Linked DNA regions of Arabidopsis thaliana. The protein of the gene in region 1 interacts with the protein of each later gene in a pairwise test. Each region holds a gene or a part of one and is shown in the gene's direction. Other genes may lie near its edges.

What was found. Proteins that work in one complex are often made in the same cells at the same time.
Region 2: the proteins of IAA7 (region 1) and ARF19 interact in binary tests that used the Arabidopsis thaliana proteins (3 or more experiments, as listed by UniProt).

The regions. Positions count from the first base shown.
Region 1 is NC_003074.8:8,192,184-8,198,673, forward strand, and holds IAA7 (indole-3-acetic acid 7), read left to right. Parts: upstream 1-2,422; 5' UTR 2,423-2,584; coding exon 2,585-2,823; intron 2,824-3,380; coding exon 3,381-3,634; coding exon of another isoform or gene 3,635-3,645; exon of another isoform or gene 3,646-3,891; coding exon 3,892-4,027; coding exon of another isoform or gene 4,028-4,031; exon of another isoform or gene 4,032-4,339; coding exon 4,340-4,401; intron 4,402-4,492; coding exon 4,493-4,533; 3' UTR 4,534-4,972; downstream 4,973-6,490.
Region 2 is NC_003070.9:6,626,327-6,635,954, reverse strand, and holds ARF19 (auxin response factor 19), read left to right. Parts: upstream 1-2,821; 5' UTR 2,822-3,175; coding exon 3,176-3,218; intron 3,219-3,514; coding exon 3,515-3,627; intron 3,628-3,706; coding exon 3,707-3,802; intron 3,803-3,879; coding exon 3,880-3,936; intron 3,937-4,020; coding exon 4,021-4,176; intron 4,177-4,267; coding exon 4,268-4,352; intron 4,353-4,439; coding exon 4,440-4,530; intron 4,531-4,606; coding exon 4,607-4,967; intron 4,968-5,044; coding exon 5,045-5,183; intron 5,184-5,265; coding exon 5,266-7,010; intron 7,011-7,101; coding exon 7,102-7,292; intron 7,293-7,376; coding exon 7,377-7,560; 3' UTR 7,561-8,272; downstream 8,273-9,628. Other genes in the region: AT1G19210 (Integrase-type DNA-binding superfamily protein), read left to right, coding at 8,425-8,982. UniProt on the Arabidopsis thaliana protein: Auxin response factors (ARFs) are transcriptional factors that bind specifically to the DNA sequence 5'-TGTCTC-3' found in the auxin-responsive promoter elements (AuxREs). Could act as transcriptional activator or repressor.

The DNA.
Region 1 (6,490 bases):
GCAAATATAGCTAAAAACATGTCAATCTTGCCGGTTGAACCGGATAAAAAATCAGTGGTGGGCTTTCAATTCATAGGATTACGGCCACTCGTGAAAGAATATGACACTAATTCACGAAAAGATGTTTCGTCTAATTTTATGGTGGTTAGAAGAATTCCAGATGTTTTCAATAATGAGGCTTTTTCCCATAATCATTGTTTTCCCCCCAAATGACATATAACTCTTTTGTATAAAAAATACGTAATTTTATGAAAGGTACAATTATCTCCTTCGTTAGCAAAATCCAAGTTTCTACAATATGTGTATGTGCACGTGTAACTACAGTTTGAGTTCATAAAACCACGTCCCACTTACTGTAAAACGTTAGCGACTACACTGCTAATTAGTAGGATTAGACAAATTATATGTTCCCTGTGTTTTAATTTTGATATTCGTTTCGGTTCGTTTAGCAAAATAGAACTAATCATAAATATTTAAGTTTCAAAAGCCTCGATTCTTAAGAAAACTACATAATTTCACATATTTTCACTCGATTGGTTGCGCATCAAATGTATATATAAAACGGATCACAATTTTTTTTTTTGATCAAAACGGATCACAAAATTAAGTGTAAAAATACAGGAACTTTCCTCAGTCTCGTCAGCCATGATGCAATGGCCCTTGATTTCATCTGTAAAAATTACAAGTCTTTTCACATTACAAAGAAGCATTAAGTTCATTTTTTATGTTGGGAAGAAGAAAATCGATGTCAGTCTTCACTCAGTGTCCTCACTAAGAACATGTACCTAGACCAATTAATAGATTCTCTGTTTATATACCACAAATGTCTATGCTTATTAATGAGTAGTACTATTCTTTTATTTTTAATTTTTTAGTAAGACACATTTAATAACCAAGATGATACAGAGAAAACGGGAGACCGTAAACAATTAAAATAATATACGTGACTTGTATAGTTGTATTGCTTGACACAAACTAATTAGAATGTTGACCAAATTTGGTTAACGGAATTTCACCGCCCAATTCCACTTGCTTTATATGCGATGAACAGTTGACCAGAGGAGACAAAGTGTAACAAATAGGCTATTAACAAAACATAGAAGTAATTAATACATTCATAGTTTATATATAGACATGTTGTGAGAACTTATTCTTTTCTTCTTTAACAAACAATCTGAATTCGTTTCATACTATATAAGTATTATATACTACCTAGTTATATGCTAGCTTTGTATTGACTCATAGAGTCATAGTACAAATGCTAAAATACTAAAGCTACACAGAGTGGTAGAACCAGCTGAAATATGTTTAAAACTACATGACCTAACCCAACCATTACAAATTTATAAACAAACTACATCCTGAAACTCCAGAATAGACGATGTAGCTCACTATGAACTATAATGTATGTTTAATGTCAGAACCAAATAAATTTAAAAAAAATGTCAGAACCGTACGAGAAGAACAAACAAAACTTTTTGTAGTTTGTTTGTATATATTTCTAAGTAAAAATGCTGAACACAATTATACAACCAATATATGTGATCTAATGTGCTATTTAGGAAAATTTGTCGATGATAAGTACTACGTCAGAGTCAAAAGACCCATATTGGTTTAGTCCGACTATTAGATACGAAAAGTCAAGCAAACATTACATGTAAATTTTGGTAAGATGTGAGAGATATATATGTCTTTTTTTTTATTTTTTGATAACAAAGATGATGCTAAAATACTTTTAGATCCAAACACCAATTATGAGATTCGGAAAAACTAATGTTAGAATTCGAACCATGATGGCCAATATTACATGAACTCAAGTGGCAAATTTTTTCACTCTTTTACTATTGGAGCAAGATGACTTGGTTATGTAAGAGATATGTTGCTCTCAATATTCTCATAGATCATCTCTTTCTTCAAATTGGTAAGATATGAGAAATATGTCCCATCTTTTTATTATCATACCAAAGTCTTTTATAAAATATATCATATATGTATATATATATATTGTCAAGAATAACTTGACTTCATACATACTATTTGAATTCGGATAGTATCACAAAACATCACTACCACGTAACTGTTGGAACTTCAATTTTACAAAGTATTTCCGGCTAACTTTTCGGCGAGTTTTTCAGTGAAGTTTGTCACAAAAATAAGAATGATCATATTTTTGGAATCTTTGTAATCGTTTTCAAAGTTTTCTCTCCGGATTTTCGCGGTTCTACAATAATTACATTACATATCATGATCAATATGTGACCTGATCCTCGTAGTTAATTAAAACATAATTTCCCGGTCACCATTCAAAACTTTCTAGATGGAAGATTAACAAAACAAAATTATCTTAGCTTAATTTTGTAGTAACAGAGAAGAAATGATTAACTAACATCTAATCAAGCCCACGTGTCATAAACCCCACCAATGAAGAAAAAAGAGCAAAAGACATGCACATGCAATTACACGAATACATACACCCCACCACCATCCTCCCTCCTTATATTATTATTGCCCCTTCCTCTCCTTTCTTCTTCCCCTCTTACCTTTTCAGAGAGAGAAACAATATTTCTAATCTATTACAAGTAACATGATCGGCCAACTTATGAACCTCAAGGCCACGGAGCTCTGTCTCGGCCTCCCCGGCGGCGCTGAAGCAGTTGAGAGTCCTGCCAAATCGGCGGTGGGAAGCAAGAGAGGCTTCTCCGAAACCGTTGATCTCATGCTCAATCTTCAATCTAACAAAGAAGGCTCCGTTGATCTCAAAAACGTTTCTGCTGTTCCCAAGGAGAAGACTACCCTTAAAGATCCTTCTAAGCCTCCTGCTAAGTAAGCTACACATTTACATATATATATATTCTTAGATTTTTTTTTTTTTTGGTTAAAAAGTTCTTAGTTTTTTCCAGTCCATATATATACATATATACGTGTTTATACACATCTATGTCTAAGTTCTTAGAATATTCGAATATATATAAATTTCATAGTTATATGTCCTCGCAGAACATAAATATTGTGAGGGATTTACATAAACATATGAATAAACTAAAAATTCTTGAAATTTGTAATGTTAGTTATATATATATATATATATATATATATATATATATATATACTTCCCATATACATTACCTTTTTTTGTTAAAATTTATATGCATAACTTTGATTCTTTGAAGTTATATTTGTTTTCTATCAATATAATACTAAGAAATAATATAATAATAATTAAAGCGTGGTTGAAACTTAAACACCAATACATACATGCGTACAAGCAAACATGAAATAATACATGTTATAACTTACAATCAAGCCCATAAAGGCAGTAATGGTAACTAATAATTACATTGGTTGATATACACCTATCTAAATAATGTTGTTCTATGTAGAGCACAAGTGGTGGGATGGCCACCTGTGAGGAACTACAGGAAGAACATGATGACTCAGCAGAAGACCAGTAGTGGTGCGGAGGAGGCCAGCAGTGAGAAGGCCGGGAACTTTGGTGGAGGAGCAGCCGGAGCCGGCTTGGTGAAGGTCTCCATGGACGGTGCTCCATATCTGAGGAAAGTTGACCTCAAGATGTACAAAAGCTACCAGGATCTTTCTGATGCATTGGCCAAAATGTTCAGCTCCTTTACTATGGGTACGTATTAGAAATTTCAAATCGGAAAGTGTGAAAAAACTATATTCGTATATTAAAGTATATCATTTACTACATTTATTCATACAAAACTCATGAACCTTACCGAGTTAGAGTCATAGAACTATACATTCGAACCCTATACATATTAACAAGATGAGATTTTGCTAAATGTATACAACTTAAATATGTATTATATATATTACACAATAATGACACATAAATTTATATGATTTTTGAATGTCTTGAATATCTTCAAGGAAACTATGGAGCACAAGGAATGATAGATTTCATGAACGAGAGCAAGCTAATGAATCTGCTGAATAGCTCTGAGTATGTGCCAAGCTACGAGGACAAAGATGGTGACTGGATGCTCGTTGGCGATGTCCCATGGGAGTGAGTCAAATTTAATCGTTTCATATACTTTTTTTTATAACTTATAACTTGACTCGTTAACCACATTTCCCGAAATTGGTAGAGACAAAGCCAAAGATATTCAACATCCATGTGTTATAAATACGTACAACCATGCATTGGTTGGCAAGAGACAAGAGGATCTTTCAAAAATTATACAATAGTATCGATATGTTTAGAGCTCATTCGTAGCTGGCACATCATCATATTATTGCCAAAAACCTTAGAATAAACTTTAAATGTTAACGACTCATATTCTAATGTTCTAACCGTAAACTTGAATACCTATTTCAGAATGTTTGTCGAGTCTTGCAAACGTTTGCGCATTATGAAGGGATCTGAAGCAGTTGGACTTGGTACATCTCTAACTTTTTTTTTTTTTTTTTGTTTTTCAATTTTTACCAATTTTCTTTTTATTTTAATATAATTCTGTTTTCTTGGTTATAGCTCCGAGAGCAATGGAGAAGTACTGCAAGAACAGATCTTGAATTAATAATAAAAAAAAAGAAGCATCAATGATCAACAATATGACGGGTTCTTGATTTTATATGTATTTTTATGATTGTATGTGGCTATCACCTATATATGTGTGTTGTAATTTTAAATACTTGATGGGTATATAGGGCAGTATTTTACCAGTAAGATGTGGACAAACTTGTAATGTGACCAAAAGAGAGGAAACTTCAATATCTCTGTGTTTGTGTCATATTTATTGCCCAACATGTGTCTGTCGGTTTGATGATCAATCACAACTTGATATGTGCATACATATAAATGTGTGTATGTAGGTGTGTGTACATGTACATGTGTTTTGATCCCTACTCTGCTACTTGTCGTTTCTTGTGTGTGTTATCTAATAGTTTTTTCCCAAAATGAATAATTCGTTGTTATGTTTACTATTTTACCAATAAAATCTTAGCTTTTTAATTCTACTCTCTAACCATTACTAGCGTTTTTTAGTTTTAAAAACTCTGATTATGTATTGACTTTTAGATGAAGTCTTTAATGAACAATTGAACATATCCTACAACCCACAAAAAAAATAAGAAGTAGAATTTAAAGTTGGTTTGTTGTCATTTCATCATAAATTGTGTATCCTAATTTTTTGGGACATGTGGTCCGTAATCTGTCATATTTTAAACTAACTGATGATTATATGTGTAGCGGCTTTACAAGATTAATTTAGTCATCATTTCAAAAATATGTTGAAATCAATATAATTTGTTTTCATTATTAAAAAAAAAGTGAGTAAGATACAGTTACAAAAGAGGATATAAAAGTTTTAATATTCGGATGTTTGTTACTCACTTACAATTTGTTACGACTTGCGAGTTATTGATGGTTCTTACTGGTGGATGGATGATGGATCATTAGATATATATATTGTATTCATATTATAGATTAATAATCTCATATAAATTATGTAAGTCGTTGATGCCTCCAAATAGTATAATTTGACCTCTTTTGCGCTCTAATTTTGTGGGAGGAATTTATCAAATTCAGGACCCATGAGAGGGGTAGGGAACAAGAGCATGTGCATGTTCATGGGTCTTTTAATTCATATGGCCATTATGTTATTGTAATTTGTACCCAATTTTCCCGATCACGAGAGGAAAATTTCATCCTATTTTATAATTTGTCTCAATGTTTGTGTCATATTCTAGTTAATCTATACTCGAATAATTATAGTATTCCCGATCGTTTTATAGAAATATATAACCAAAAACCAAGGTCAAACGTGCAATATGATAATGACTTTGAACCAAAAAAAAAACTTAAAACAAATTGCAACCTCATGGGTCCTAATTAAGTAATTATACACCAACAATATAGTTAACAATTTAATTATTCTTATGTAAAGTAAGAATAACTTTTGATTTGAATTATAAGCTTATAGAGCCAAATATAATTAAGTATAGGCCAGGTCCATTGAAAATTCAGACATATTAATTATTACAAATGAAGTCGAGTAATGTAGAGTTTAAGGGTACGGTTTTTTGGTAGTGACCAAGCTCGACAATGCAAATCTATTTTTAATTCTATATAGCTATATTTATAAATGAAATAATGAGTGTTTTGGGATCACTAAATACAAACTTTCATGAGTTTTGATGATTGTAATACCCAAACTTTTTTCTTGGATCCGGTGCAACGATAGAACTTAATTTCATAAAATTAGCCAAGTGATGAAAAAATGATTAAGCGCTACTAGGGACATGCATGCATGCGTTTGCAAATTCTAGGTCAAAACTAATAAATTTAATTAACAACTATACTATCTTAATGATTTGATTTCCAAAACAATGCTAAATGCAAATAATATATCAAACAGAAAAGACCCAGATTACACAAACAATAAATATTCAAATGATCTGGACTCTGGAGATAATACGTGTTTAGTTTTGAAAAAGCAGTTTAAGAAATTATAGTAGCATGTCCAATTGT
Region 2 (9,628 bases), on another chromosome or scaffold:
AACCAAGTTGTAAACACAGTAAACGTTAACCAGTTTTTTTTCTTTTTTTTTTTTTTTTTTTTTTTTTTTGCTGACTAGATCATGAATTCGGTTGTAGTATGCAAAATAGAAATGAAAAATGTGAATAATCAAGGGTAAAGTGAAATTTCTCCCCACAAGTTGTGTAACAACAACTATATCGATTAACGAGTCAAAAATTAAATTACCACATGAAAAATGTCAAAGTTAATTAGGAACTTTTTTTTCATTGAACCAATTAATTTTTGATGAAATTTATGGTTTATTAATCTGACACAACACTGTATAAAAGATTTTTTTTGTTAAAAGTTAAGAAAGAAGAATGTTGAGAGAACCATCAATGTTAAACCAATAGATGATAGTCAAGATTCATAGTATAAAAATTTACCACATTGGTTGAGAGATCAATTCCTTTCACCATAATGTCAATCATAATTAGCCGCTAGAAACGTTTTCTATGTCAAAAATACACAGCTTTTTCATATTGATTTTGGTTCAGAATTTCATGGTTTTATACCTTGTTTGATAACGTCATTAGAACATATGTACTTTTGTACTACTGAAACATTAAACTAGTGTGCAAAACAAGATTTTAAGATAGTCTAAATTCCAGTTAACAGAAAAATAAAAAATATTGTTGGTTGGGAAATAGTAGAACAAACGAGAGAGAGAGTGTGTGTGGTTACGATGAGGAGAAGAGACATAGAGGCATACACTCACTTAAAAGCAAAACCATTTTGGCTAAACCGAAAGACTCGGTCGGAGTCTAGAGCCTGTCTCTCCCGACATCCTCTGCCACACCTCACGTGCATGCTGCACCCACACTCACGTGCACATACATTTTTCTTGTGTTTTAGTTATTTTAGTAAAAACGATATATTTATTGACTCTTTCTGTAATGGTGGTAGAAATTGAGGAATTCACAAAAGTCCCAAGTTTTTGTTATATATGGTGCATGCGTATGTATTTGAGGAAACTTTTGCAGGATGCGTGGATCAAATCCAATTATAATTTAATTTTATATAGATATAAAAGTCAATAGTGGGAGGTGAAAAAAATATCAACAATGATTGAGTGTTACTACTACTAGAATGGTTAATTCGTTTTGATGAGGAGTGATTTCTAAACACATCAATTGTTGTACGTACATATACTCTCCACGCGCAGCAAATATTGACCCAAAAAGGCATAAAAAACACTAAAGCATGCCAACTTTTTATTCTTGTTGAGATTTACTTTGTCGTCCCATATCTTTTCAAATTTTGATCCTCTATAATATATGTTTAAACCTAACTTATCAAACTTTACATTCCTTTTTCTTTTGCTCACTAGGTAAGGCTCTTGAGATCGCTTCACCTCATCTCTTGTTTAACATTTATAAACATGTAGCTGTCTGGTTAATCAATTTACATGTGGTAAATTATAAATTACTCTAGAAAGAGATGTATATTAAACTGCTAAGTTCATGGCTAATCTTCGGTATTTCTTGTTTAACCGCGATAAGTTGAACATATATTAATGAGCTCTTATGGTTTTTGTTTAATGTCCATTTGGAGGTGTGATCATCTCATATGTTCTCACCAAAAGATTACCACTTGAATTCTTTTACATGTGAAATGTTTTAATTTATTAACCCTCTTCTGTTTTGATCAAAACATAAACTATATATTTGAATCTTTTATATATAATTCATATTAATTAAATAACATCATGTTTTCAATGAATGTATTGACATGATATCAATGAAGAATATTTACTTTGGAAAGAGTCAGAGTTGTTCTCGAAAGATATTTAAATGTTCCAAATTATTTCCGTTTGTCTAAACATAGAAAATCCCTAATTACATATAAATCAACAAAAAGGTAATAATTAGGTCAAAACCTCCCCCACTAAATACATGTATACTGAGATTCAGAAATACAATACTATTATAGTATATGTTAATTGAAAGCAAAATTCATAAGAAAGATCGGCGTTGAAAGGAAAAAGGCTCTACAACTACATTTTATATGCATACGTAGAGAGCTGAAAGTAAGGAACAACTCTACTCCGGTCCAGATTAATTGTAAAGAACTTTATACATTAATTAAAACAAAAACGAACACTTTATACTATTGATTAAAAAAAGAAGAAGATGAATAAAATAATTGCCTGAAAAATTAATAATTACACATGAAGGCTTAGCTTTAATTGGAGTATAATGATGTCCGTAGCTCTGTAAACATGTGAAGTTCTCCTCCTTTTGCGGCTAGTGGGTGCTCCATTGCGTATCAAAAGGAATATTATTCTAATCATAATTAAGTCATTAAATTACTAGTAGTGTTTTTTTTTTTCTCGCATTATACGGACATGTCTCAATTTGGACCAATCCATATAAATGAATAAACTTATTAGCTACTACTATATTATAACAGAAAATATGTATATAAAAGAAAAAAAGTGGGACATCTTTTCTGGTAACCAAGAGTTTACAACTTTGGATTAGAAAATATTTAAGTCCCCATTTGGCTTGCAATTTTCGGTCCGCCGAACCTAATCCTTAGGTTTTTCTCAATATATCCGGGTTTATGGTATAACCTCATTCATAAGAAAATCCGTATTACTAAAGTAAAAAATTAAAAATATGGTTATAAAAACGAGGGAAAGTTAACAGATTTTAAAACCATGGACTGTTTTTCCAACAACAGTAAATTATAATCGGAAAAGATAAAAATAAAAAGAAATAAAAAAGGTGGGACCGACAAGAAGAAGACATCAAGTGGGGTGCCACGTCAGAAGGCATAAGAAAAGATTTCATCTTTCCGCATGTATCCGATCCCAATCGGCTTAAATCTCAATATCGATTATTGTTTTTATTTTTTTGAAAAAACACTTGAGAATCTGCAGAAACACGAGAAAAAAAAGAAAAGTTTCAAAGCTTTTTAAGAGCTTAAAAATTTGCTTTGAAGCTTCAAATATTCTTATGAACTAAAAAGAAGAAAAAAGCTTTTGTTTCTTTTTCCTTAGCAGCAGAATGATTTTTGTTTCCAAAATTATTACTATTTAGTTTCTCTCGTGCTCTTCTCTTGAGCAAATACAGATTCGTTAATTTTGCTGAAGAAGAAGAACTCTGTTTCTTCCCTGCACCAAACCAATTTTTTCGTTCTTTCTATAAACCATGAAAGCTCCATCAAATGGATTTCTTCCAAGTTCCAACGAAGGTACACAAGCTTTATATTTATCTTCTTCTTTTCCAGATTTTATACTATTCAATTTCTTCATCAAGGAGTTTCTGCATTTCATGTTTGTGATTTTCTCATTGAAAAAATGAATTTTGTTATTCAATTTCAACTTTGGAGTCAGCACAAAGTCACAAATCGAGTTCTTCTATCACTTTATTTAATAAAGTGGTTGAAACATAAATGCCGCTCATAAAATTTCCAGACTTTAAATGAAACTATGCAAAAATTCTATCACTTTTAACAGATTTGAATATGTGTGTGATGATGATGAACAGGAGAGAAGAAGCCAATCAATTCTCAACTATGGCACGCTTGTGCAGGGCCTTTAGTTTCATTACCTCCTGTGGGAAGTCTTGTGGTTTACTTCCCTCAAGGACACAGCGAGCAAGTAAGTTCATTGCGTTTCAAACTATTTTGAAACCTTTGGTAGCAATCTAAGTAATATGTTCAATGAAACCTTTTTTCAGGTTGCAGCATCGATGCAGAAGCAAACAGATTTTATACCAAATTACCCAAATCTTCCTTCTAAGCTGATTTGCTTGCTTCACAGTGTTACATTACATGTAAGTCTCTTCTGACTCCAACTTGTGAATCAACAAGAAGATGAACTAATCAGGACTTTTGTGAAATTCTGAATCAGGCTGATACCGAAACAGATGAAGTCTATGCACAAATGACTCTTCAACCTGTGAATAAGGTCTGAATTATATCATTCTTCTTGTGCTATCTTGGTTTAAAGTTGAGGACTTTAATGCTGATCTTTGCTCAAAATGTGTGACAGTATGATAGAGAAGCATTGCTAGCTTCTGATATGGGCTTGAAGCTAAACAGACAACCTACTGAGTTTTTTTGCAAGACTCTTACTGCAAGTGACACAAGCACTCATGGTGGATTCTCTGTACCGCGTCGTGCAGCTGAGAAAATATTCCCTCCTCTTGTATGTCTCTCTGATCAAAGCTACTCTCAGTTTCTTTTGCTTCAAACTTTTGAATCTGTTTTGCTAAAAGTTCTAAGGGTGCTTAAAATAGGATTTCTCGATGCAACCGCCTGCGCAAGAGATTGTAGCTAAAGATTTACATGATACTACATGGACTTTCAGACATATCTATCGAGGTTTGAATCATCTAAAGTTTGTTTTATTAGTCTAAAAGATTGAAAACTTCAACCTGATTTGTTTTCTTTGATGTAATCTGATCTCAGGCCAACCAAAAAGACACTTGCTTACCACAGGTTGGAGCGTTTTTGTTAGCACAAAGAGACTATTTGCGGGTGATTCAGTTTTGTTTGTAAGGTATGAGTCATACTTTGATCAAAACATTAAGCAGAATTGGACTTTCATCTTCTCATAAGGGTACTTGGGTTTGCAGAGATGAGAAATCACAGCTGATGTTGGGTATAAGACGTGCAAATAGACAAACTCCGACTCTTTCCTCATCGGTCATATCCAGCGACAGTATGCACATTGGGATACTTGCAGCTGCAGCTCATGCTAATGCCAATAGTAGCCCTTTTACCATCTTCTTCAATCCAAGGGCAAGTCCTTCAGAGTTTGTAGTTCCTTTAGCCAAATACAACAAAGCCTTATACGCTCAAGTATCTCTAGGAATGAGATTCCGGATGATGTTTGAGACTGAGGATTGTGGGGTTCGTAGATATATGGGTACAGTCACAGGTATTAGTGATCTTGACCCTGTAAGATGGAAAGGCTCACAATGGCGTAATCTTCAGGTAATGACATATCCGAGTTATGCTAAACTGTTTATGATGGTCATTTCTTCTGAATCTTTTGTTCATGGTTTAAACAGGTAGGATGGGATGAATCAACAGCTGGAGATAGGCCAAGCCGAGTATCCATATGGGAAATCGAACCCGTCATAACTCCTTTTTACATATGTCCTCCTCCATTTTTCAGACCTAAGTACCCGAGGCAACCCGGGATGCCAGGTGAGTTTACTGCTTTCGTTCATTTTTTTCCCATAGATCTTTGACTGAGTTTCCGGATACTAACCTTGGTGGTTTGTTGCAGATGATGAGTTAGACATGGAAAATGCTTTCAAAAGAGCAATGCCTTGGATGGGAGAAGACTTTGGGATGAAGGACGCACAGAGTTCGATGTTCCCTGGTTTAAGTCTAGTTCAATGGATGAGTATGCAGCAAAACAATCCATTGTCAGGTTCTGCTACTCCTCAGCTCCCGTCCGCGCTCTCATCTTTTAACCTACCAAACAATTTTGCTTCCAACGACCCTTCCAAGCTGTTGAACTTCCAATCCCCAAACCTCTCTTCCGCAAATTCCCAATTCAACAAACCGAACACGGTTAACCATATCAGCCAACAGATGCAAGCACAACCAGCCATGGTGAAATCTCAACAACAACAACAACAACAACAACAACAACACCAACACCAACAACAACAACTGCAACAACAACAACAACTACAGATGTCACAGCAACAGGTGCAGCAACAAGGGATTTATAACAATGGTACGATTGCTGTTGCTAACCAAGTCTCTTGTCAAAGTCCAAACCAACCTACTGGATTCTCTCAGTCTCAGCTTCAGCAGCAGTCAATGCTCCCTACTGGTGCTAAAATGACACACCAGAACATAAATTCTATGGGGAATAAAGGCTTGTCTCAAATGACATCGTTTGCGCAAGAAATGCAGTTTCAGCAGCAACTGGAAATGCATAACAGTAGCCAGTTATTAAGAAACCAGCAAGAACAGTCCTCTCTCCATTCATTACAACAAAATCTGTCCCAAAATCCTCAGCAACTCCAAATGCAACAACAATCATCAAAACCAAGTCCTTCACAACAGCTTCAGTTGCAGCTACTGCAGAAGCTACAGCAGCAGCAACAGCAGCAGTCGATTCCTCCAGTAAGCTCATCCTTACAGCCACAATTATCAGCGTTGCAGCAGACACAAAGCCATCAATTGCAACAACTTCTGTCGTCTCAAAATCAACAGCCCTTGGCACATGGTAATAACAGCTTCCCAGCTTCAACTTTCATGCAGCCTCCACAGATTCAGGTGAGTCCTCAGCAGCAAGGACAGATGAGTAACAAAAATCTTGTAGCCGCTGGAAGATCACATTCTGGCCACACAGATGGAGAAGCTCCTTCTTGTTCAACCTCACCTTCCGCCAATAACACGGGACATGATAATGTTTCACCGACAAATTTCCTGAGCAGAAATCAACAGCAAGGACAAGCTGCATCTGTATCTGCATCTGATTCAGTCTTTGAGCGCGCAAGCAATCCGGTCCAAGAGCTTTATACAAAAACTGAGAGCCGGATCAGTCAAGGCATGATGAATATGAAGAGTGCTGGTGAACATTTCAGATTTAAAAGCGCGGTAACAGATCAAATCGATGTATCCACAGCGGGAACGACGTACTGTCCTGATGTTGTTGGCCCTGTACAGCAGCAACAAACTTTCCCACTACCATCATTTGGTTTTGATGGAGACTGCCAATCTCATCATCCAAGAAACAACTTAGCTTTCCCTGGTAATCTCGAAGCCGTAACTTCTGATCCACTCTATTCTCAAAAGGACTTTCAAAACTTGGTTCCCAACTATGGCAACACACCAAGAGACATTGAGACGGAGCTGTCCAGTGCTGCAATCAGTTCTCAGTCATTTGGTATTCCCAGCATTCCCTTTAAGCCCGGATGTTCAAATGAGGTTGGCGGCATCAATGATTCAGGAATCATGAATGGTGGAGGACTGTGGCCCAATCAGACTCAACGAATGCGAACATATACAAAGGTTAGAGATCTTTCTCTCCCTTTCCATAGCTCTAATCTTTTGCTTCTTAATTTTCGAATGCTAAATGCCGAAAGTTGTTAAATCATTGAAGGTTCAAAAACGAGGGTCAGTAGGTAGATCAATAGATGTTACCCGTTATAGCGGCTATGATGAACTTAGGCATGACTTAGCGAGAATGTTTGGCATCGAAGGACAGCTCGAAGATCCGCTAACCTCTGATTGGAAACTCGTCTACACCGATCACGAAAACGATATTTTACTAGTTGGTGATGATCCTTGGGAGTACGTTCCAGACCTGAAAAATCTATCTGTAACAGTCAAGATTGAACAATTCTGATAATTCTTGTCTGTTTGTTTTTTCCACAGAGAGTTTGTGAACTGCGTGCAGAACATAAAGATACTATCATCAGTAGAAGTTCAGCAAATGAGCTTAGACGGAGATCTTGCAGCTATCCCAACCACAAACCAAGCCTGCAGCGAAACAGACAGCGGAAATGCTTGGAAAGTACACTATGAAGACACTTCTGCTGCAGCTTCTTTCAACAGATAGAAATAAAAAGATGCAAATATACCAAGTCAACTTACATTATCATTCGAGGCCATCGCAAAGTACATGTTTTTTTTTGTGTGTATGTACTGCAAACAACAAACTGAGAAGAAGAAGATACTGCACGGTATATAAACATTTTTATAGGACAGTGATTTGATTTTTCATTCTAACTTGATGTTGTTGTACTTTCTTGTTTCCATATTTGTATAACAAGTATAATGCTTGACAAGTCTATGAGGAGCATATCTTATACAGAGATACTAAGATGTAATGTTAATGTAACTAAACAATTACCTTCATTAATCATGAATCTTTGGTCGTTTCTTCTTCTTCTCTTCAGTGCCTCCTAAGAATCAGGGATCATTTCAGATTCTTTTATACCAGTATCCTCTAGACGCAGCGAAATATTCAACATTTCAACGTTTGAAAACGAAAAGAGAGGAGTTAAAGAAAGAATCACGTGAAAAACAAGGACAAGGACAAGAAAACCAAACAGTCTCTGAGATTTCCCGTGTGAGTTGTGACCCACACACATTAAGACTCAAGCTTCTAGTAACATCCGCCACGTGTCCATTCCCCTGACACTTTGCGGCGTTTTAAGTACAAACGCGCTCCCTTTGACCTTTGAAGCTGACCTTCTTTCTTCTTCACGCGCCATAAAAAGTCAAAAACTCACTCTTCACTCTTTTATTTCACTCGTATAAATAAATTTCTGAAGCGCCAAATACAATTATCTCAATTCAAATCAACACTAACACTGAAGAACAGAGCTCACTGAAAAAACTTAACAGAACAAAATTAAACCGGAAAACAGAGAAATCATACCGGGTTGGTTCAATCGCGTCTTTGTTTGGTTTAATCGTGATGGAAGGGTCGTCTTCTTCGATGCAGTCAAAGTACAAAGGAGTGAGGAAGAGGAAATGGGGAAAATGGGTTTCAGAGATCAGACTTCCCAACAGCAGAGAACGTATTTGGTTGGGCTCTTACGATACTCCTGAGAAGGCGGCGCGTGCTTTCGACGCGGCTCTTTATTGTCTCCGTGGCAACAACGCAAAGTTCAATTTCCCTGATAATCCTCCGGTGATCTCCGGCGGACGTAACTTGTCGCGATCTGAGATAAGAGAAGCTGCTGCGAGGTTCGCTAATTCGGCGGAGGATGATTCAAGTGGCGGAGCAGGATACGAGATACGGCAAGAATCTGCTTCAACATCGATGGACGTTGATTCGGAGTTTTTGAGTATGCTTCCGACGGTTGGTTCGGGTAACTTCGCTTCGGAGTTTGGGTTATTCCCTGGGTTTGATGATTTCTCCGATGAATACTCCGGTGATCGTTTCAGAGAGCAGCTTTCGCCTACACAAGATTATTATCAGCTTGGAGAAGAGACTTACGCCGATGGTTCCATGTTTCTTTGGAATTTTTGAATTCCATTATTCACAATCTGAAAATTTTGACTTGGGTTTTTTATTTTTTTTTGTAGTTCTTTACCCAATTTTTTTTTGATCATTGGGATAAAGAGTTATTCATTCACTATTTTTTTCCCACGTGTTAGATTTTTCAGATGGGAAAAGGCCAAACTTAATAAAACAATTATATTTGGATCTTCTGACGTCATTTGATCATATTATCATGATATCATCCACTCCAATCGCTTTCACTAGGCCCAATTACAAATCTTATTTTAACTGTACGATTAAGCCCAACAATAATACTTCAGGCCCATTAAAATCAATAAGGGTATTGTCTTATTAAATTTCAATTACAATTTTTACTTTAAGTTGTACGATTAAGCCTAATAATAATATTTCAGGCCCATTCAAACAAAGGCAATAAGGGTATTTGTCTTATTAATTTTTATATATTTATTTTCTGATATATTTGACAACGACCTTATTAATGTTTTAAGGGTTTTCAATATAATCATTTCAATGAATATCTTTTAAGAAAAAAAAATATACAATTCAGTAATCAATTAAGCCAGTGAAATTCAAGGATTAATTGGAATTAAAAAAATTGAAACAAATAGTTTAAAATTGTTATGAAATTATGCTACTATAATTTATCTAAACC